4 linked regions of the Arabidopsis thaliana genome follow. The protein of the gene in region 4 interacts with the protein of the main gene of each other region in a pairwise test. Each region holds a gene or a part of one and is shown on either strand. Other genes may lie near its edges.

Region 1 (6,601 bases), on a different chromosome or scaffold from region 4:
TTTGGAAAAGATTGTTTAGGTAAATGAGTGTTGAAGAGATTTCGATTTGTGTTGCAGAGTCGCGTGCGATCATGAGGTATATAGCAGAGAAGTATAGATCACAAGGACCTGATCTTTTGGGGAAGACTATTGAAGAGAGAGGACAAGTAGAGCAATGGTTAGACGTTGAGGCTACAAGTTACCATCCACCACTATTGGCTTTAACGCTCAACATTGTCTTTGCACCACTTATGGGTTTCCCTGCTGATGAGAAAGTTATTAAGGAGAGTGAAGAGAAGCTTGCAGAAGTGCTTGATGTCTATGAAGCTCAGCTTTCTAAGAACGAATACTTGGCTGGTGATTTTGTGAGTCTAGCTGATTTGGCTCACCTTCCTTTCACCGAGTATCTTGTTGGTCCTATTGGGAAGGCTCATTTGATCAAAGATAGGAAGCATGTTAGCGCTTGGTGGGATAAGATTAGTAGCCGTGCTGCGTGGAAGGAGGTTTCCGCTAAGTACTCACTACCTGTTTAAACAAGGAGATGTTGACTTGGGGGGTTTGTGTGAGCTTTGTGTTCTTTGAGGGAGTTCGTTTTCGGGTCGATTGTCTTGTTGTTTCAATAAGAAACGGAACTCTGTCTCATTTGTTGTCTCTGGTTTCTTGTATTCTGTAACTTTTCAAGCTTTTCAATAAGAGTTTAAAATCAGAGTGACTCAACCCATGTATATTCCTCTATTCAGTGTAGGTCTTTGATAAAACTGGTACTAACATCACAACCATCGTGGTTTGTTGAAGGATTGCATTTATATGAAAACTGGTTTATATGAATCCAAAAACATAAGTCAAAGTTTAACACATATCTCTCTGTTCTTCATGTTGTAATAAAAGGGAAAAAGAATCATTCCCTAGTCAGACAAATTCAAGAGCGGCAGATACATAACAACTCTTGAATGTACAAGAAAACTAAAAAGACAAATTCTTTTTGTTGTTAGAAGAATCAACTCTCCAAACATTACCAGACCATCAAAGAGTATATTAAAATGTACGAAGATCTACCAATCTTTATTCAAGGCTGGTGATGAAATGATTCGGAAGGCGGATCATTGCGTGGAACGTTAGGTTCAGGAGACACTACCGGGATATCCAAGCTGTTTCTTCTGTCCCGTTCAGTCTCTGCAGATATTTCTCTTACATCAGAAACTCTTGCCTCTGTTGCCTGAATATCATTCCATTCGTTTTCTCCCACCGGAGGCTGAGCGTTTACTACCTGCTCTTCACTCATATGGACTACATTCTCTCCCGGTATAGAGGCTGTTCTTGAAATGCTCAGACATGCTTTATCCACATTCTTTTCTGTTTCCTTTGTCATTGGAAGAGAAGCTTCGCCGTTAGTAGACTCAGTCTTCTCCTCACACACTTGCTTTGTCTCTAGTTGCTGCCTGTTTATTCAAAAATAAAGAGATTTATGACCCTTCAAAAGTCATGAGTTTCCCTGGGAGATAGATTCAGATAGGCTCACCTTTGAAGCTGAGTTTGTAACATATTCACATATGCTAAAAGCTCTTGCTTCTCTGTCCAAGCAGTTGCTTCTCTCTGAGAAGCCTCTTTTGATTTTGCTTCACCGCTTGCTTCTGCAACCCTCACTTTCTCTTCGGCCCTCACAACAGCTCCTTCAAGTATGACAACACGCTCTCTGGCTTTCCCAAGCTCAGACCGCCACATATGTGCCTCTTGGAGAGCAGCGTCTCTTTCCTTAACCAATTGATCTTTTTCCTTACTCAAAGTAAAGGTCTTCTCTTCCAATTCCTTGAGCTACATAGGAGATAAAGATCAAATAAACAACAAAACATACACAAGGATGCAAAAGTATCTATATATGACATGGCCTCATTACCTTTAATTTTGTGGCTTCTTGCTGTCTCTGTGAGTCTGTAGTCAAGCGCTCAAATTCCACACAAACGATTTTCCTTTGTTCATCCATTGTATGAGCAGCAGATGCTGCAGCTACAGCTGCTTCAGCAGTCTCAGATAGCTTATCTGCTATTTCCTTTATCATTGAGTCACGAGAACGAAGTTCCCTGGCTAAATTATGTAATTCTTCATCTTTGACACGCAGAGTTTCCTGTAAGATGTAAGTGGCTCAATAAGGTTAACCTGGACATTAGAATGAAGATGGACGAATAAGATTTATGCTAATTCTGTTAATTTTCATCCTTGACAAGCAGAGTTTCCTGTAAGGTGTCCCTATATGCTTTCATCGTTCATCTTGACATTTCAGAATCTCAACAGCCAAAGGATGTCAATATGCTATTCACAAAAGTTTCCCAAATTCGAAGAGAAAGAGAGATGCAAAGATACCACACCTTCATTATTGTCAAATCATCTAGTGGTCCATCAATCGGTTTATTTGGCGTTATTTTCAATGCATTCCTCAAAGAGATCTGCATTGCTGCTTGAATTTCTCTGGAACATTCCAATGCTGTTGAATTGGCAGCGGCAACAACGGTTGCAACGGTACCAAGTGTTGCAGAACCACTTCCACTTAGAGATTCGACAGCCTCCTTATGGGCCTTTAGAACTAGCTGTGTCGCACTGGAACGAACAAAGAAAGATAAGGTTTATCAGATTGGCTTTTGAGGGGCATTTAGAAGGTATTACATTTTCAGTAAGAAACGTAAAAAGAGAGAGAAAGATGATTCTTTCAACATGGTCGACGACGAAACCATTAAATCAACACAACTATGAATTATTTAAGATAGATGAAATAAGCGGGGTGGCTTCTCTAGAGAATGGTAAGTAAATAAAAAGGACAGAAAGAGAAGCAAACAAAAAGATGAAGATCCAGATGACTTACTGTAAGGTTGTGACCCAAGCTTTAGCTGCACCAGGAGTCTCTGCACACAAAAAGTAATCTTTCTTCTGTGGGGTACCAATATCTTATATCAAGTTGAAGAAAATTCAACTCTAGATTCCAATCAACTATCTCCTTATAGACAAAAGAAACAATTATAAATATGCCAACATTTTACTAAAACCAAGGATACAAATACAGCAACCATTATATTTTGGAAGCCCCCTGAAACACAAAAGAAACAAAGTCAATGATACAAACAGACACCAAATAATGATGATTATACAGAGCAACAAAAAAAAGAATGTAGCATCCATACTGGAAGTTGACAGGAGAGATGGAGATTGTGCTATTTTCGTCAAACAAAATTGTTCCCTTGATAGTTGGCTCATTTCGCCTCGTCCTGAGTCATGGAAATACATCAGAAATGAATAAAACCATGATGAAGTGGTCTACACACAAATGCAGCTACATAAGCAAATTGATATAACTCACTTATACTCCATTTTCCCTGTTGTTGGATCAAGTATCACCCATCGTTCGTTCCATTTTCTCAGCTATTCATACATAAACACAAACAAAAGATATTATCATTGTGAACCTTTGAATAAGCCAAGACATTTCAGGCCAAAAGACTTGTTTAAGCTATAGAAATCTAATAGTGAGCTATCAGAGAGTCTTCTTAGTTTGAGCTAACTAAGAAATCCCAATCAATAAAGCAAAAACTGGTTTTGATCATTTTCACTTAAAAAAATTGGACTTACAGTTTCAGATCGCTTGAAAAGAGGTCCTTGTAGCAAGTTCCGACCAGAGCCAGATGCCAATTGTCGCTTGATCTTATCCAAGCTGTTCTCAGTAGCATCAACAATTCTCTGCGCATTTTCAGAAATTGACAAAATGGGTCAATTTAAGAGTGTGAATGAGAAAAGCAGCCAAAAGAAAGAGACTAAATTGTAGCACACAGAGATCAAGAGAGAAAAAGACCGGAGAAGCGCCGTTGGAAGCCATGTTAATTGGGATCGACGAGATCGGAAAGCTCTTGATCGATTAGAAGTGAATTGTTGCTGATCGATGGATCGAGAGAAGAAGGGTTTTAAGAGGTTTTCTTTGGTATAGCTATGAGTATAAGCTGAAGAAGACGAGGTTACAGAAGAAGAAGAAGAAGAAGAAGGAATTGGAGAAAAATGCTGTTAGGTTTGGTTTCGCGGAATTGCAGTTGAATCTGTCTTCACTCTTTCAACGCGATCAAATCAACTTAACCGGTCGGTACGATACTGGATCAGCTTACTCGTCAAATGAACCGGTTCTTGAGTTTCTCACTTTTTGTTTGTTCACTTCATTTTTATGGTTTTTGATCTGACGGTGGAGGTGTCATCACATGATTCTTTTGTTTTGTTTTTGGTTATGAGGATGATTAAGTAGATCTGTAGAAGGTAGGCTTTGTTAAGGGAGAAGCTTTACATAAACGATGGGCTAAGGAACATCAATGGGCCGGGCTGTAACAAGCCAATCGTTTAGGAGAGAGCAGAGTTCTTACTTTGCCCAACTAATCTCAAATGTGTGCAAGATTGTGAAATATTGCGTACTAGCTTCGACGCTTGGTAGTGGTGACTTAGACACTTAGTTCACAGGGACTTCAAACATAGATGCGTTAGACACAGCTTTACACTTTCTCTTAATCTTCAAGATTTTCAATGTACTACAACTTCCCTAATGGTCGTAATGAAACATGATATAAGTACATAACATAATATTCAATAATATATGAGATTTGAGTAATCATATGTGATATGATGATACTCTTTCCTTAATAGCTAGGCGCTGATAACTACATAGGAGGAGGAAACACAACAACTTGTTGGGGATACAGAAATGGATTGAAAAGCATCAAAGCAAAAGAGTAGTAGACATGTAAGCCAAGACAATATTCAATTTTGGGGTTAACTGAAGTGGGAAAGCTGCAAAACGTGAAGTGGTCCTCTTGCTTTATTCTACGTATGTAGATTCCTTTTGTATGAATTTTCTCATTTGTTTTTCACTTCTATGGCATTCTCATCAACCCAACCATGCATATATTTCCTAAATGAAACGTCTAAGAAGCTATCAAAATCCATATTTTTTTGGCTCCTTTATATTCAATCTCCAAAATAAGAAGAAACTTCTACTATATAATATACTACAGAATTTGGACACCTTTTGACATTTATAAGTTTGACCATTTATCTAAAATTTGGTATGTTCTTATGATTAGTGTTTGAAAATAAGAAAATATATATCCATGTGATGTGGTCATTCATGTATACCTTCCATAGTGAAATCATGATGTTTGTTGACAGTAACATATTGTTAGTGGTCTATGAGCTAGTGCAACCTGCCATGACTCACTTTCCCTTGCAAAATCTGACATTCTTCCACAAAACATAAAAGTCCATTAAAATTCTACTTTTGGATGAATCTGACCTTAAGGAATTTTCAGTTTCAGTTTCTTCTTTTTTTTTTCATAGAAAACCAAAAGTGCTGTAGAGTCGCAGAGATAGTGACATCCACTTGAATATTCTTCTGTTTTTTCTTACATTCATTAATTAAATTCAATACTCAAATTATATATATATAGTCCTTTTTAGATATAAAACATCATTATTAACATCTAATTAAGATTGACAAAAATGAAGTTCGTTATATCAAATCGATTGCCCATTCCTCCACTTGCTTTTCTTCATTTAAATTCAGAGATACTAGTAAAATAAACCATCAACCTCCATGCAAAACCATATTATATAACAAAGTTGCGAGCTTAACTTTTTTTTTTTTTCTTTTTATCACATTTCTTTACACTCTAAAAGCAAATTCTAAAACTTTTCTTTTCTTTTCTCTTCTTCTATCTATAGCTAAGAAACTAGTGGATCAAGTATTCAAGTTCCATATATACCGTCATCCAATTCTTTACAAAGAGCTAGATACACACAAACTTTAACAGTTATACTTATGAAATGAACTCATGAATTGATTATCATCAATTCTAAACTTTGTATTTATTGTTTCAACTTCAAACCACATGAAGTCATGGAGATTCATCATCAACTCTTAGTCTCTCTCCTCTTCCTCCTCCTTCCCCTATGCTCCTCCCAAGAAAACACCAGAAGCTTGGCCATTGATGTCAATGGTCCAGTCGAAACTTCTCCTATCTCCGAGGTTCGTATGCTCTTCTTTCTCTCTCGCTTATCCTAATTAAAATCTAATAATCTCAAACTCTTCATAATCTCATTGATATAGCTGATAAATCTTTACAATGAAGCTCCAGGCATTTCCTTTGTTTCTGATCTTATAACCTATTGAGTTTATTTATCATCGCATGATTATAATGTATGTAAGTCATGTACATATTATTATTCCATGATGCTTAAAGGTTATAGTTTTTTTTTCCTACTCTCTGTATAAAATGCCTGCGTGTTAATAACTTTAATCAAAAACTCTGAATATATATTGGTATGAAGCTCTTATTTTTATTTTTCTTGAACAGAAACTAAATCCAAAGCTTGTGTACGAAATCAAAGTGCATGGCTTTATGCTTTGGGCAGCGATGGGTGTTTTGATGCCAATTGGTATAATCTCCATCAGATTAATGTCTATCAAAGACCAACCTATAATCACTCTTCGACGACTCTTCTTTCTTCATGTCACTTCTCAGGCATGTTTCATTTTTCTTGGCTCTCTTATTTAAATTATATATATCAAATATATATTACAATTCAACAAACTAAATCATAAGTA
Region 2 (5,653 bases), about 16 Mb from region 4:
CATAAGATGCCTCGGTGCTTGATTTAGACAAGTCTTGATCCTTTGTTGATACACTCCTAAGCTTCTCAATTGTACTGGATAAAGCAGCTACTCTTTGATCCAATATATCAACACTACACTCTGTGAAAACATAAAAAAAAAACATTGTAGCAAAGGCAAAATTAAAGAGTATATAGCAAATCAACAACAAGAAAAACCTTCATTGAGTTGTTTTCTGACTAGGGTTTTAAGAGTTTGCTCATTAATGAGCTCAGGAGACGACAAGGTCTCATTAAGTCTCTCTCTGTACTCAGAAACATCTCGTTTCTTCTCCATACTCAATTGAATCAGCAGACACCTTTAGAAAACAAATTAATCCTCAAATCAAAGACCAAAGAGAATCAAAGATTGCCCTGAATTTGTGGAGTCAAGATGAATCATGGGGAAGAAGTGAGAAGAGAACACCTTAAAACGTAAGGCAATTTATAAGAAAGGAAGCTTTTGGTTATAGTTTTGCCAGACAAAACCCAGCTGCTGATGCGTAACCTACGAGACGGGCAAGGAACGTGGAGATGTTTTTCCCGATTAGAAGATACTTTCCCTCATTTTCTCGGGAATATACATATCTGGAGAATGTGAAGAAAAAGTCTCATTACCAATAATAATAAGAATTGGATTTGACAAAGTTTGAGAGTCTGTGTCAGACTTTATTTTAGAGGGACCAGGTCGGTTAACTGTCGTTGTCATGAGATCTTTCCTGTCTGTCTTTTTATCATTCAAACAAAAAAAAATGAATTTATAAAACTTAAACACAAACAAATAAGATCACTTTTGATTTATTTTATTTTTTAAATAAGGATGTGCAGGAATGAGATTTTCTTCTAAAATTGTGGGAGTAAATGAATGAATCTAGGTATGATTGATTTCATCAAAATCAGAAAACTGATTGTTTCTAGAAAAACATGCATTTGGGGTATTTTGAAACCACATGAGTATATGATGAGTTATTATAAACTAGAATTGCGTTGTAAACGAAATAGAACAAATCTTCTTTTGGAAATCCGTATACTTTAGCGTAAGAAAATGGAAGAATTTGATTTGGACTCGTATCTTTGAAGTATATATAATTCAGCATTTACATTATTGAGATTTATCTCTCATATGTTGTTTTTGCTTTTCCTCATTCTATGGACTTAGCTGCAAGTTTTAAATATCTATGGTAATGAACATGGTCCAGCCTATACAGCAACGAATATCTATCACTATTTTTAATATATATACACAATCAAAATTCAAAACCATGAGTTGCTTGCATATCCCTGTGTGGTCAAAGTCAAGACTGAACTATATTAAAGAGAAGTATCTTGCAACTAACACCATAGCTTATTCAAGACACAGCGACATGGAATATTACATTTCTTAGTTGTTTTAAACAGCCATTGGTTTTCACAACACTTAGTTAAAAAGGAAGTAAAAAAAGAGTCTCAGATAGTTTTGATTAAAACATTTTTTAAACTACTGACCGCAGCAACCGCCATTGTTCTGTTGGATTGGCTGACCTTTCATTTGGACAGTTCCAGGACCAGATGTCTTGTTTGCATTCGTTTGGCTTCCCATTCTGCAAAGAAAATGAGTTACGATATGATTAGACTCAATTCTCCATGTTACATAAACTAGACTGAATCAGCAAATGTCGATACAAGATATCAACCATATGGAAAATCTATCAACAGAAGTTAAGTACACAAGCTTGAGGAAGCTACAAGGATACAGCAGTTAGTTTGTTGATTTGCTTTCCATTAGTCATCAAGTCTAGAATAGCACACTTCGGATTTGAAACTTTACATGAATAGTTTATTTCATGAAAACAGTGGAGAATCAAGATGCTTTGCAGCAGAAAAAAACACAGAGAATGATTTGATGTATATAATGGTGATCAAGGAATATAGTAATAGAACAAGTTTACTAAACCTAATCTATGTTAAATCTTCGCAGAAAAAATTATGGCGAAAGATTAAAGATAGTGAACATACTTCTTTTTTATCTCGCCAGCAATAGTTAAGAATGCCTGTTCAACGTTAATAGAATCCTTGGCACTGGTCTCAAGAAAGGGAATTCCAAGCTCATCTGCTAAGGCCTGCAGTGATTTTGAGTAGATGAAATGTAAGAAAACCAATTCACAGTTGTATCAGGAGTAACAGCTGCTGCAAAAATAAGCAATTTCTACTCGGTGGATTCAGATCATCTAGCTTTGGGAATTTGGTCAGAGATCATCTACATTCATAGCCGTAAATTCTGGTATAACAATCTCAATGGTTGTAATATCATCACATGGTTAAAGATATGCGAAACCATGAAATGATCAAATGAGGAAAGGGGAAAGTACCATGCAAAGGATGTTATGCATAAGATAGAAGCAAAATCATAAATGGAAAAATTGCTGGGAACTTAACTAGGGATGTGAGCTTACCCTTCCAGTTTCGGTGGAAACAACTTTGCTTTCAACCATATCATTCTTGTTACCGATTAAAAGCTTGCAAACACTCTCATTGGCATATCTATCGATCTCACTCAACCACTGCTTCACATTGTTGAAGCTTTCCATCTCAGTACAGTCATAAACAATCTGTTGCAATTATCATCATTAAGGTTCATCACTTAAAGGGTGGATTACAACATTAAAATGATTCATATTCCAACATTACAATACCAATCTCAGACTAAACCACTTAAAATGAGAAATGGAAATAGGGACATAACACTAGTCTAGGTAAGCCAAAAAAAAGCAAGTAAGAAAGCGAATATAAAGATTGCTCACAATGATTCCATGAGCTCCTCTGTAATAGCTGCTAGTGATGGTCCTGAAACGCTCCTGTCCAGCAGTATCCCACTAAAAGAGAGCAGCAACAGTAAAATTGAGTAAACACAATCATCCAAAACATATTATATAATTGAAAACTCACAATTTGCAGCTTAATCGTCTTCCCATCCTGCTCAATCGTCCTAATTTTCTGCAAAACCAACCACATTATAAGTAAGTTTGGGATAAAACAATCTCGATCATGTATGTAAACAAGGTCAAAGAATGAACTTACGAAGTCAACACCAATGGTGCTTATGTAGCTGTCAATGTAAGCATCATCCTAGAAATAGCAACAAATCCCAAAATCACGAAACAGTACAAAAGAAGAAACCTAACACGAGCTAATTCTCGACGACGGAATCAATTAAGAATCAAAATCAAGTCAAACTCACAGCGAATCGGAGAAGAAGACACGATTTTCCAACAGAGGAGTCACCGATCAACAAAAGCTTGAACAGATAATCGCTACAACAACAAAAAATCGAAATCGGTGTGAGTAAAATCGAAAACGAAAGAATGGCTCTCAAGGAGGAGAGAAACACTTACTACTCGTTGCTCATGATTTAGCTGAAGACTGCGTTTCCGAGATTTGATTTTCCAAGATGAGAACAACTTTCCGGGAAAAAGCTCTTTTTCTCTATAATATAAGAAACAAAAAAAAAGAGAGGTTTGGGTTTAGGGGGCGTGTCAATCAATTTACATGAACATTGAACCCCACGACTTCTACTGGATTTTTTTGTTCCCAGTTTTTTTAATATTTGTTTAATTCCTTGTTGTTTTTCCCGAGACAATAAAGAAGCTTTGACCTTGTCTCACTGATTTCTTTACGTGTGTGTGTCTTCTTATTTGGGCTTTTTGATAAATGGGCCGAGCTCAAAATCTTGTCTATCTAACTTAACCGTCGTTAACGTCCTGGCCCTGTTATTAAAGGTTTGGATTTTATTACTCATGTATATGTCTCAATTTTTATTTTTATTTTTTTAGAGAAGATAATTTTACATAAATTTGATTTATAATCCGTGATCAAGATGTGAGGAATTAAATATAATGAAGTATTTAAAGCGGATTAAAAAGGTATATTGAAAAAGAAAAGAAAAACTTTGATTGAATATGCATGGATTTTCCAATTTTATATGACAGTATATTTTATCAACAAAATCATTCTCTTTTTCATACTCCATTCATATCATTTTTAATTAAGTCATATTAATCCTACCAAAAGTTACCTTCTAATTTTACGTTTCTTCTAATTTCCTTTTCTGGCAAAAAAGAAGATATTTCCTCAATTTATAATATTTTTTTTCCATCAAACTATTTTTTTTTATATAACCAAAAAAAAAAAGTGTAGTAACGCTAACGTGTTTGCAGCTTGCAACTTGGCTAGCAGATTTAAAATAAGATAAGTTCTAAAAATAAACAAAACATATATAGCCAAAAACACAAAATTAAAAACACGAAGATTTGTTTCACACAATACTTGGAATATCCTAATTATAAATAACTAAAAAGATTGAGAAACGAACACAAATCTCCACCTTATACAAGAATCGTAAAAGAGAAAAAAAAAACAGAGAGAGATCTTCAAAAAGATGGCGATCGTTAGCCCTAATTTCTGTGCACCGTACCCTATCGAGTTGGGAATCGTACGGAAGGTGATGACTTTAACCGATGGTAACTTCGCCGTCACGGACGTTAACGGCAATCTCCTTTTCAAAGTCAAGGAACCTTTGTTTAGCATCAGCGACAAAAGGATTTTATTGGACGCATACGATACTCCAATCTTGACTTTGAGAGAAAATGTAAGTATACGTCTATCAACTACAATTCTTTATAACTTGCATGGAGAGGCACAATTTTTTCATGGTGATACAAAAAAAAAATTTCATTATGCAAATCATATATACACAAACATGCTCTTATAACTTGCATGGAGGTACACTTTTTCAATACGTCTATCAACTAATTGTAAATAATATCAAAATCATCATCACTCATTCGAGTATGTTAAATCGTCATAGATCATCCAATAAAATCTGATCCACAACTTTTTTTTCTTATAACATAAAAATTGTAGAAGGTGAGCTTGCATGATAGGTGGCTAGTATATAGAGGGAAGAGTACAGACCAAAGTGATCTATTATACACATTGAAACGATCTTCAATGATTCAAATAATGAAGCCAAAACTAGACATCTTTTTGGCTCATAATAAAGAAATGAAGATTTGCGACTTCCATGTTAAAGGAAGTTGGATCGACCGGTCTTGTGTCGTCTACGCCGGCAAATCTGATGCCATTGTTGCTCAGGTAATTACACTGATCAAATTGTCTGTAAATTGTATAAACCGGACTAGCTAGTTATATGATCGTGTTAATTGAGTCATTGTTGTTGTTTTGTTGTTTTTTTCAGATGCACAAGAAACATACGGCACAAAGCATATTAATTGGGAAGAGTAATTTTTCGGTTACTGTCTATCCGAATGTTGACTTTGCTTTTATAGTTTCTCTCATTGTAATCCTCGATGACATTAACCGAGAAGATTCAGAAGACTAGATTAAGTTATCAACTAATTTCTTTTTGTGCGTTGCAAATCTAAATAATACTCGAAAACATAGTACAGTATATGTTAATTATTACAATATTTTTAGTGATTTATTTCACCAAGGCCTATCAATTTATATCATTATAATAGTGAAACCGTATTTAAGAAAATGTGCGAAAGACAAATCCAAACTTTTTTGTGGAGGTAGACAAACATCTTCAGGTATCAAAAGTCTCAAAACTTAGTTTTACCATCTCTGAAGTTTCAGCC
Region 3 (5,257 bases), on a different chromosome or scaffold from region 4:
AGATACGTCTTCTTGTTTTGATATCTGGAAGAGGGAATTCGATTTTCCTGTCGATCCGGCCTGGTCTAAGAAGTGCCGGGTCAAGACTCTCGATCCTGTTTGTCGCGAGAATAACCTTAACATCTCCTCTTGAATCAAACCCATCAAGCTGGTTCAGTAGTTCCAACATGGTTCTTTGGATTTCACGTTCCCCACCTGAGTTTGCGTCATACCTGTTTCAACCACCATTTTATATCACATATTAGATACCATCTCTTGAGCAAAATCAAGAACATTGTTTATCAATGGATCATGTTTATGTTGTATTTAGGCATACCGCTTGGTGCCAACAGCATCAATCTCGTCTATGAAAACAATAGAAGGAGAAAGGTCATCAGCAACCCTGAAAAGTTCCCTCACAAGCTTGGGACCATCTCCTAAATACTTCTGAATCAGTTCACTACCGACAACACGCAAGAAAGTAGCTGAAGTAGAATTTGCCACTGCCTGAAAGAATAACAAGAAATAACACTTGCTCATCTCCAACAGTTCCGAATTTAACAAGCATAAGAGACACATTAAAAAGAGGCACACTGCAACAATCCATGCTTGCGACATAGACAAAAAGAAAACGAAGACATTAAATCAATCCACGTGACTCTGAAAATCTTCCTCTATCTACACAAGTACTATGATCTAATATCTCAATTCTAGGTGATCAAACCAAAGAAGCCACTGTCCTGACTAATTCATCTTTCTAGTGAAGATTGATAAAAGACAGAAAATTTTGCATGCATGACTTGACATAAAACCAATCATACTTGGGAAGTACCATTATGTGCTGTATTAAGCAATTAACAACTAGAAAGCTTATTATATAATGGATACACTATAGGCTAAAAGACGAACCTTAGCAAGCAATGTCTTCCCAGTGCCTGGCTCACCATACAAGATCACACCTTTTGGTGGCTTAATTCCAATATCTTCATACAGCTCGGGATGTGTTAAAGGTAACTCAACAGCTTCCTTAATCTCCTGAATCTGAGCTTCTAAACCTCCAATGTCAGCATATGACTCCAAAGGAGCCTTCTCCACTTTCATCACAGACACCATTGGATCCACTTCATCTTGAAGAATCCCAACAACAGAGAGTACCTATCACAAAAATAATAAAAAATATCACATAGAAGAATTGGTTCAACGTTTCCATGGAAGAGCATTGTAAAACTCAATACCTTGTTATGCATCAAAATAGAGCAGCCAGGTTCAAGCTGATCCTTATCAACGAAAGACAAAATGCCAACGTAGTACTCAGGACCAACCGAAGAAGAAACAATGGCGTGATTCTCATCAATAAGCTCTTCAAGATTGCCAACACTCATAGGTGTACCACGAAGATCATCAACTTTAGATCTATCTTCCTCAGCTTTCTCTTCCTGAGGTTTCAATCTCTCCTGATTCGCTACGAACTCTTCCTCCATAAGCAAATAGTCCTTGATTCGCTCCAATTTCAGCAATCGAAGCTTACATTTAGTAGAAGGAGTCACCGTCGGCAATCTCGCCGCCGCTTCAGGTCCTTTCTGCTTCCGTTGCTTCCTCCCTACACGAGCAGGTGGTGCGGCTGGTTCGAACTTCTTCTCCTTCTTCTCTCCACCATCTGGTTTCCGATCTCCTTGCCGATTCAATCCGCCGGAAGGTCCTTGACCCATTGTGCTTCGTCTCTCTGAGGTTTCTTGCTCTCGGAGAAACAAATCTTTTAATCTGATAACGGGAGGAGATGATTAAAGTGGGCTTATTATTTTAGGCCTTTTTACGATGTGAAAAACTTAGTGGGCCTTAGGTATCGCAAATTTTTTTAAAACTGATTCAACCTAAGCTATTATCTGGTTTAGTTCAATAACTCGGTTTAATTATCTTTAATTTCGGTTTAAGTTTTGTAAAAGTCAATTCGTTGGTTTGGTAGTTGGTACGGTCAATCGGTACAGGTAAGGAACTTTTCTTTTGCCATTTGGGGAAATCGAATCAAAAATCAATTTCATCGTCTTCTCTATCTGTCATTCATCATCATCACAATCATCATCATCAAATCTCAGGATCTTCGAGGTGGTTCTTCTGTTTCGCAACTAGCTTCTAGATTGTGATTTACAATCTTCGAACTCTCGGTGAGTTTCTAGGTTTAGGGTTTTATCTCTCTTTACACGACAATTGTTATGGCCAATCGAGAAAGAGATCGAGAGCTTCTGATTCCCGTCGCTGATTTCGGCGACAAAGACGATGGTTCTTCTTCGAAGCCTTCTTCTTCTTCCTCTGCTTCTTCTTCGCATCAATCCGGCCACGAGGTCTAGTTTTTGTCACCTGATCTAAAAACGTGTTCTTCGTTTTCTCATTTCAAGATTCATGCGAAACTAACAGTAGAATTGGATGATAGTTATTCATAGATTTGGTCGATTCTGTCTCCCCTTAGTTCAAAATCTTGGAACTTGTTTTGCCCTAGATTCAGTATATCACAAGAACACTTGCTTAGATAAGTTTGGTAGTTGTGATTGAGTAGAGTATGAATTTGCATTCCAAGTTGTTGTGGTTGGAATCATTCAGATTCTTGAGTCTTTGTATTATGCTCATTCATGTTTTCAAGCATGTATAACTTATAGAGCATTGTGGCCTGATGCTTTAGCTCTTTTCTGCAGACTTTAAGCTTGTTCATTAGGGGTTGGGCGTCAAAGAAGTTCATGACAGGCTGGTAAGGAAGAGTTGAAATTTTGGCATTTGATGAAAACTTCCACAGATTAGTTTTAAGTCTCCATTGCTTTTTGCAGTGTTATCCTACTTCCTATTGCAGTTACTTTCTATACAACATGGTGGTTTATTCACTTTGTCGATGGATTCTTCTCTCCAATATATGCACTACTTGGAATCAACATATTTGGTAAGAATTTGAATGGCCCCTCTTTATCCTATTAACAACTTGATATCGGTTTCCCACAATGAGTTTGATTATTGTTTTGTAGGTTTCGGTTTTTTGACTTCCATTGCATTCATCTTCTTGGTTGGGGTGTTCATGTCTTCGTGGTTGGGGGCATCGGTTCTGAACTTGGGAGAGTGGTTTATCAAGCGGATGCCATTTGTTCGTCACATCTACAACGCCTCCAAGCAAATCAGCACTGCCATATCGCCTGGTCTAGCTTGCTTATAAAAATCTTGTTTTGCTTCTCAACATTAAGTTGATCTCCTATCTCATCTTGTTCTTATCCATTTCTCATCACAGATCAAAATACACAAGCTTTCAAGGAAGTTGCAATCATCAGGCATCCCCGTGTAGGTGAATATGCATTTGGCTTCATTACATCAACTGTTGTTCTCCAGGTGAGTGAAAATACTTTGCTCAAGGATTTTGTTATTCTTTCCAGAACGTCTCCTTGAGGATACAAACAATTTCGAGTTATATGGTTTACCATAATTTCGTAATCTTTTTACCCAATGTAATAATGCTATTCGTTCTTGCAGAACTACCCAACCGAGGAGGAACTTTGCTGTGTATACGTTCCCACGAACCACCTTTACATTGGAGATATACTACTTGTCAACAGTAATGACGTTATCAGGCCAAACCTCTCTGTCCGGGAAGGAATTGGTGAGATTTCAGAATCTAATTGTCTATACTAGATACATTTATCGTTTGTTATATAGCATTCAAATTATTTTGTGGAAAGATACTGAACACTGTATACTCATTCTTCATCTGCAGAGATTGTTGTTTCCGGGGGAATGTCAATGCCGCAGATTCTATCGACTCTTGATAAACCTTTGGCCTCGATTGGAAATGAATCTTAAAGTGACTATTCAAAAACCTTTGGCCGATCGATAGGAAAAAATAAAAAATCAGAAGAGACGTTTCACAAAATCTGAGCGAATAGAGAAACCAAAAAACACAGAAAAATTTGTCGAGAAGTGTAATTTGTCAATATTATTTGAATAACCTTGTTTTCTTTTAGCCCTTTTAAAAATAATTTTTTTTCTTTTCTTATAGATTATAATTTGTATCCGCGTCCTTGTGTCTTTCATATTACTGTCGCATTGACTTTATAACAAAAAGATAATCAAAGATAATCCCACCCTAATAATAATCACATGACAAATGGCAATATCGTTTTACATATTAGGGAATAGTATAAAATGTGGTATATATAGAGAGACATTGTTGATCGAAGAAAAAAATGGTCTAACATTTCTCTGTCTAGCTCTTCTTTTGATCTCAGGTACGTTTTGTTTCCAACATGTTACTAATTCTTATGGTGAAATAAAATACTGCAGCTAAAAATGTATCGACCAAAATTTTCTTAGAGGAGGATTGTGCTTAGCACCTGACCTAATTATGAATCTTCATTTCTCTGCCTTTGTAAACTTTAATTTATTTTAGAACTTTATCTCATATAGAAATCTCAAATATATATATATTATAGTTTTTGCTTAACTTTTATATTTAAAATAAATCTGAAAGTTGTAAGAAAATTATTTTCCATATCAGATTTAACATTGGGTGCAGTCTTGGGAAAATATATAATCGTTAGAATAATTTTCTCTTTTAATGTGATAATTCGAAGACGTATGTAACAAACAAAAATGACAATAATAAATATTACAGTATAAATCATTTAAAACATATACTATAATTAGTTATTTTTTGCTTAAATATGATGGAATTGTTTTGATATTGCTTAAGAATCAAAAATGTTTTACTCTAGATAATAAAATATTTATTGTAAAGTTTATTTTTACGATGAATGTATATGATTTCAAGTAGAACAAATAAATTTTTGATATATTAATTCACAACAATAAAATTAATCTTTTCATCTTTTGAAAATAATTTGTATACAGTAATTTGAAACAAAAATTAATCATGTTATAATTAAGAAAAGGATAAATAAAAGAAGACAGATATAAAAAGAAAAATCCAAAAACGACAGAGAGCTCAAGTTGGAGTTAGCTAAGCTTAGCTACAAAAGAACAGTCGCCGGCAAAAGTCTCAGCCTTTTTCCTCTCCGCCGTTCACAGTTCACCGGCATTTCTCTCTTCTTTCTTTTTCTCCGACTAGATTTCCTTGTCTCTTTGGTTTCTTGGCGATGGGAGACGAGAAGCCGGTGATTGTTATGGCCAATCGAGAAAGAGATCGAGAGCTTCTGATTCCCGTCGCTGATTCCGGCGACAAAGACGACGGTTCTTCTTCGAAGCCTTCTTCTTCTTCCTCTGCTTCTTCTTCTTCGCATCAATCCAGCCA
Region 4 (4,425 bases):
TCTTTCTTCATCTTCATCTTCATCTTCGCTTCACAATCTCTTTGAGACTTTTGCATCGGAGCAATAATAATATATTCATCGCAAAATCAGTGAATTTTGATATTCAAATCTTAATCGGCGATGGAACGAACAAGCAACGGAGGAATGTTGTATCACGAGGTTCAAGAGTCAAATCTGTGCGCCGTACACTGCGTCAACACGGTGTTGCAAGGGCCTTTCTTCTCTGAATTCGATTTGGCTGCCGTCGCCGCCGATCTAGACGGGAAGGAGCGTCAGGTTATGCTTGAAGGTGCTGCCGTTGGAGGTTTTGCTCCCGGCGATTTCTTAGCTGAAGAGTCGCACAATGTTTCCCTCGGCGGCGATTTTAGTATCCAGGTACGAATTCGCGATGAAATTGATAAATCTTGAGTTGCATTCAACATTTATATATTGTAAAGCCTTTTTGTTATTGTGTTGTTGGAAGTTTAGGCAAAATTAGGGTTTCGATTTTATGGTGCTTTTGATTGCTGTGTTTATGCTGAAGTGATAAACTTTTGAATGGTTGGATTCGTTTTTAGATAGATTCAAGAAGAATTGAGATCAGTAATGGTGTGAATTTGCGATCTTTACTTTGGGTTAAAACTCATTTGTTGAAGGCTAGTTTCATTGTGCGAACATTGCTATGCTGATAAATGGAGGAACTTGAGATGATTTTTTTTATCTTGGGACTCAATTGTTTTGGATATGTTAGTTATTAGTGAGGTTCTGTATATTCAATTATCATCTTTTGTTTCTTGGATAGCTTTAAACCGAGTTGGTTGATAACTTGATATTTGATTAGGTTGCTACAAAAGTCAGGTTTGATTGCAAGATTTATGTATTGAGATTCAAGGGTATAGTATGGTGTTTTACATCACATTTTTAGATATCTAAAATTAAAGCTATTTTAACGGATTACGTTGAAGTTGGATGCGGATAAAACACTGCAAACAGAGGGTTTATGCGATTGGTGTAGCATTTTAATCTTGCAAAGTTGATCTAGTCTTTGCTTATTCGTTTAACTGAGAATGCTTCTGTTTGATTGACAGGTCTTGCAAAAAGCTTTGGAAGTGTGGGATCTACAAGTAATTCCACTCAATTGTCCAGATGCAGAGCCTGCGCAGATAGACCCTGAGCTTGAAAGCGCCTTTATCTGCCACTTGCATGACCATTGGTTTTGTATAAGGAAAGTGAATGGCGAATGGTATAACTTTGATAGTCTCCTTGCTGCCCCGCAACATTTATCGAAGTTCTACCTTTCTGCGTTCTTAGACTCTCTCAAAGGCGCAGGATGGAGTATCTTCATAGTGAAAGGAAACTTCCCTCAGGAATGTCCCATGTCGTCTTCTTCTGAAGCTTCCAATAGTTTCGGGCAGTGGCTTTCTCCTGAAGACGCAGAGAGAATAAGAAAGAACACGAGCTCAGGTTCTTCTGCCAGAAACAAGAGAAGTAATGACAATGTTAATCAACAAAGACGGAATCAGGCATTGTCACGTGAGGAAGTGCAGGCTTTTTCAGAGATGGAAGATGATGACTTGAAGGCAGCAATTGCAGCAAGTTTGCTTGATGCTTCTGCTGCTGAGGCCAATCTCGGAGCTGTGGGCACTTCTGAAAAGGAAACTGAGAAACAAAAGTAGCAGAGAAAATAGAGAACAAGTGTTATTGATGGAGGTGGTGGGATATTCACTTTTGTTTCTTTGTTTTGGTTTGTTATCAAGAGTTATCAACAATTTTACATACAGAACAGAGAAAGAAAAAAGCTTACATCGAAAGATAGAAAACAGAGGATAATAAATGGTTTGTGGAATTGTTTTTGTTTGATTTTTTTACCATATTAAATTCTTCTGACAATCTTAAATTGAGGATAAAGATTCGACCTTTTCGAATTCATAGGAAACTACATCTGAAAAGGGTACATAAATTACTTCAGTTGACTAAAAGTAGATGAATGACCAATTTAAATGTGTTCTATGGAAAATATAAAAGGATGGTGTAAAATTTGATTCATCTCTAAGTACAATCTGGCGAACTTTTACAGTTTGAAAAAAACAAGAAGGATAACACTTTTAGGCTGGAAATAAAAACATCGAGAGGACAACAAACACCTTCTTTTTCCCTAAACAGAGCATAGCCTTTGAATTATTAATTAATTATTTGTATATTCAAAGTTGATGGCTTTGATGATGATGGTGATGACCCAACTTTAGTCTCTTCTTCACTTTTTATTTTTACTTTCTTTGTGATACATCAGGTTCCTTCGATTCGAGCCTTTAGGATTTCCTTTCACATAATGATCTGTTTCTGACATTCAGAGAAAGATATACATATCTGGGTTACTTTTGGGATCTGATCATCTGAGGAAATCTGAATCCAAGTTTGCTCTGATCTTTCTTCTCAAATGAGTTCTTCTTCGGACAAGTTGTTCAACAGAGACAGGACAATACATGAGATTCTGGGAGGAGGCATTGGTTAGTGAATACATTTCTTTACCAAATCCAAAACTTATAAAAGCTAGGTGATCTCTCACCTCTATAGCCTTTTTTTTTTCTTGTTATGAAATGAATCTGCAGTTGCAGATGTGATGCTGTGGAGGAAGAAGAATGTGAGTGTTGGTATAGTTACAGTGACAATAGCTTCATGGATGGTGTTTGAGGCATTTGCTTACACTATCTTTACTCTTATTTCAAGTGTTCTTCTTCTCTTGCTCTCTATTCTCTTCCTCTGGTCCAAATCTGCTTCCATTCTCAACAGGTATATTAATATTCACTTGTAACTAATATTACTTCATTTCTGATTCAATTTCTTGGCTCTTCAGGCCATCACCGCCGTTACCGGAGTTTCAAATAAGTGAAGCGATGGCGGAAGAAGCTTCGATATGGTTACGTATTCATGTGAACAAGCTACTCCAAGTTTCGCATGACATTGCAATGGCAAGAGACTCAGAGTTGTATACCAAAGTAGCAGTGTCACTGTTTCTTCTCTCATTGATCGGAAGTCTCATGGATTTTCAGACACTTTGCCACACCAGTAAGTAGATATTCTAAAACTCCTATAGACTTGGAATGCTTTTGAGCTGGATATTCATTTTGTGGTTGTTCTTGGTTAATTTGGCAGGCGTTTTGGTGGTTATGACGGTTCCAGCTTTCTATGAGAGATATGAGGATTACATTGTTGGCTCTATTGAGTTTATCTGCAACAAAACTAGAGAGCTTTACCTTAGACTCGAGATATGGGCTAATCCGGAAAATAAGAAACTGAGCTGAGATGCTGTCACCTCTTTCTTCTTCAGGAGTTTCTTTTTCTGATTTTTCTCGGTTTTGTGGAAAGAAAGGAGAAAAATGTATGATTTTTGATAAATGTTGGATGGTACAGCCAATATATGAGCAATCCACAGAAATTTTATTTCACAGTTTTACTCGAAAACTGAATCTCTATTCCGAAAACAATATTCGACCAAGTTCTGGCCTCTCTCAATCACCGAAAATGAAGAAGAAAACAATGTTGCTCTTATTCCCTCTGCTTAAAACTATGTGTCTCAGTTTCTTTTGGACGCATCGAGTTCCCGGACATACTTCTTTGCCTGGATTAGAGTATTAAGAACCCGGATTAGAAAATGAGAAAGAAGACTTTGCGTGACCGATTCGAATGCGATTGCGATAAAATAAAAATTCTATCAGTTGTTACCTGTTCGAGGGTCAAAAACATGATTACGTTCCATGAGCCAAGGCGTCCAAAGTTGGGGATGAAACCCTTGTAAAATGCCATAGGACCCTGTAGAGGAAACCGTAAAGAGTTTGTAACATTTTCTGGGTTATATCTAGAACAATGGAGGTATCAGAAGCAGAGTTGCTTACGTCGCTCTTCAGAGTTTTGACGAAGCAGTCAATGGTGCCCTTGTAAGCACCAGAATCTCCCATCATTCTTGACTTAACCTGCCACACAACAAGATTTAAGTAGACAATCAGGAAACGTGGTGAATAAACTCAAGGTTCAATGTCATGAGTAAATACTTTACCACGTCGACAGGAGAGCCGATGCAGACAGCAAAGAATCCTGCTCCCAGTCCAGATAGAATATGTGTGACAACGTTGTCAGTGAAACCCGGAATCTTCAAGATCGTCTGAACACAAAAAAAAAAAGGAATGTTGGTTGCTTCAAATATCAGGATCTCTTATTTAGAAAGAGAGACAGAGAACATATTAGTTTCATACCTCTTTCACTTGATCGTAACTCGCTAATTCAGCAGCATTGATAATAGCGTTTCTTGCTACGTTAGGTCCAAGACCAGTCCAAAGAGCTCGGACTCCTTCCTGTCAGAGCCACATTAATAAGATATGAAGTAGAGTTGAAGCAACTTATGCACAATCTCAACTTCCAAGTCGGGATAACTACCTGTCTCACAATTGT

The links.
Region 1: the proteins of AT3G54120 (region 4) and SWAP70 interact in a two-hybrid assay, tested with the Arabidopsis thaliana proteins (one large-scale study listed by BioGRID).
Region 2: the proteins of AT3G54120 (region 4) and ATFP8 interact in a two-hybrid assay, tested with the Arabidopsis thaliana proteins (one large-scale study listed by BioGRID).
Region 3: the proteins of AT3G54120 (region 4) and LCV1 interact in a two-hybrid assay, tested with the Arabidopsis thaliana proteins (one large-scale study listed by BioGRID).

The regions. Positions count from the first base shown.
Region 1 is NC_003071.7:13,141,881-13,148,481, forward strand, and holds SWAP70 (Pleckstrin homology (PH) domain-containing protein), read right to left. Parts: upstream 4,181-6,601; 5' UTR 3,839-4,180; coding exon 3,815-3,838; intron 3,703-3,814; coding exon 3,595-3,702; intron 3,388-3,594; coding exon 3,326-3,387; intron 3,234-3,325; coding exon 3,150-3,233; intron 3,056-3,149; coding exon 3,024-3,055; intron 2,916-3,023; coding exon 2,834-2,915; intron 2,572-2,833; coding exon 2,343-2,571; intron 2,102-2,342; coding exon 1,874-2,101; intron 1,792-1,873; coding exon 1,499-1,791; coding exon of another isoform or gene 1,495-1,498; exon of another isoform or gene 1,419-1,494; coding exon 1,046-1,418; 3' UTR 785-1,045; downstream 1-784. Other genes in the region: GSTF10 (glutathione S-transferase PHI 10), read left to right, coding at 58-512; AT2G30890 (Cytochrome b561/ferric reductase transmembrane protein family), read left to right, coding at 5,894-6,022, 6,351-6,518.
Region 2 is NC_003074.8:3,707,996-3,713,648, forward strand, and holds ATFP8 (Ras-related small GTP-binding family protein), read right to left. Parts: upstream 3,623-5,653; 5' UTR 3,403-3,622; coding exon 3,389-3,402; intron 3,308-3,388; coding exon 3,235-3,307; intron 3,123-3,234; coding exon 3,075-3,122; intron 2,991-3,074; coding exon 2,943-2,990; intron 2,870-2,942; coding exon 2,798-2,869; intron 2,606-2,797; coding exon 2,450-2,605; intron 2,117-2,449; coding exon 2,013-2,116; intron 1,598-2,012; coding exon 1,495-1,597; 3' UTR 1,136-1,494; downstream 1-1,135. Other genes in the region: AT3G11720 (Polyketide cyclase/dehydrase and lipid transport superfamily protein), read right to left, coding at 1-120, 198-337, 507-605, 686-726; AT3G11740 (LURP-one-like protein (DUF567)), read left to right, coding at 4,432-4,641, 4,917-5,147, 5,251-5,394. UniProt on the Arabidopsis thaliana protein: Protein transport. Regulator of membrane traffic from the Golgi apparatus towards the endoplasmic reticulum (ER).
Region 3 is NC_003071.7:8,689,167-8,694,423, reverse strand, and holds LCV1 (uncharacterized protein), read left to right. Parts: upstream 1-1,933; 5' UTR 1,934-2,189; coding exon 2,190-2,318; intron 2,319-2,666; coding exon 2,667-2,719; intron 2,720-2,795; coding exon 2,796-2,905; intron 2,906-2,987; coding exon 2,988-3,155; intron 3,156-3,244; coding exon 3,245-3,342; intron 3,343-3,483; coding exon 3,484-3,610; intron 3,611-3,724; coding exon 3,725-3,810; 3' UTR 3,811-4,131; downstream 4,132-5,257. Other genes in the region: RPT2b (AAA-type ATPase family protein), read right to left, coding at 1-212, 317-486, 889-1,134, 1,215-1,688; COV1 (CONTINUOUS VASCULAR RING protein (DUF502)), read left to right, coding at 5,103-5,257.
Region 4 is NC_003074.8:20,040,125-20,044,549, reverse strand, and holds AT3G54120 (Reticulon family protein), read left to right. Parts: upstream 1-2,209; 5' UTR 2,210-2,416; coding exon 2,417-2,486; intron 2,487-2,588; coding exon 2,589-2,769; intron 2,770-2,833; coding exon 2,834-3,045; intron 3,046-3,132; coding exon 3,133-3,281; 3' UTR 3,282-3,424; downstream 3,425-4,425. Other genes in the region: AT3G54130 (Josephin family protein), read left to right, coding at 121-375, 1,068-1,655; PUMP1 (plant uncoupling mitochondrial protein 1), read right to left, coding at 3,554-3,598, 3,703-3,789, 3,873-3,950, 4,034-4,138, 4,230-4,328, 4,411-4,425.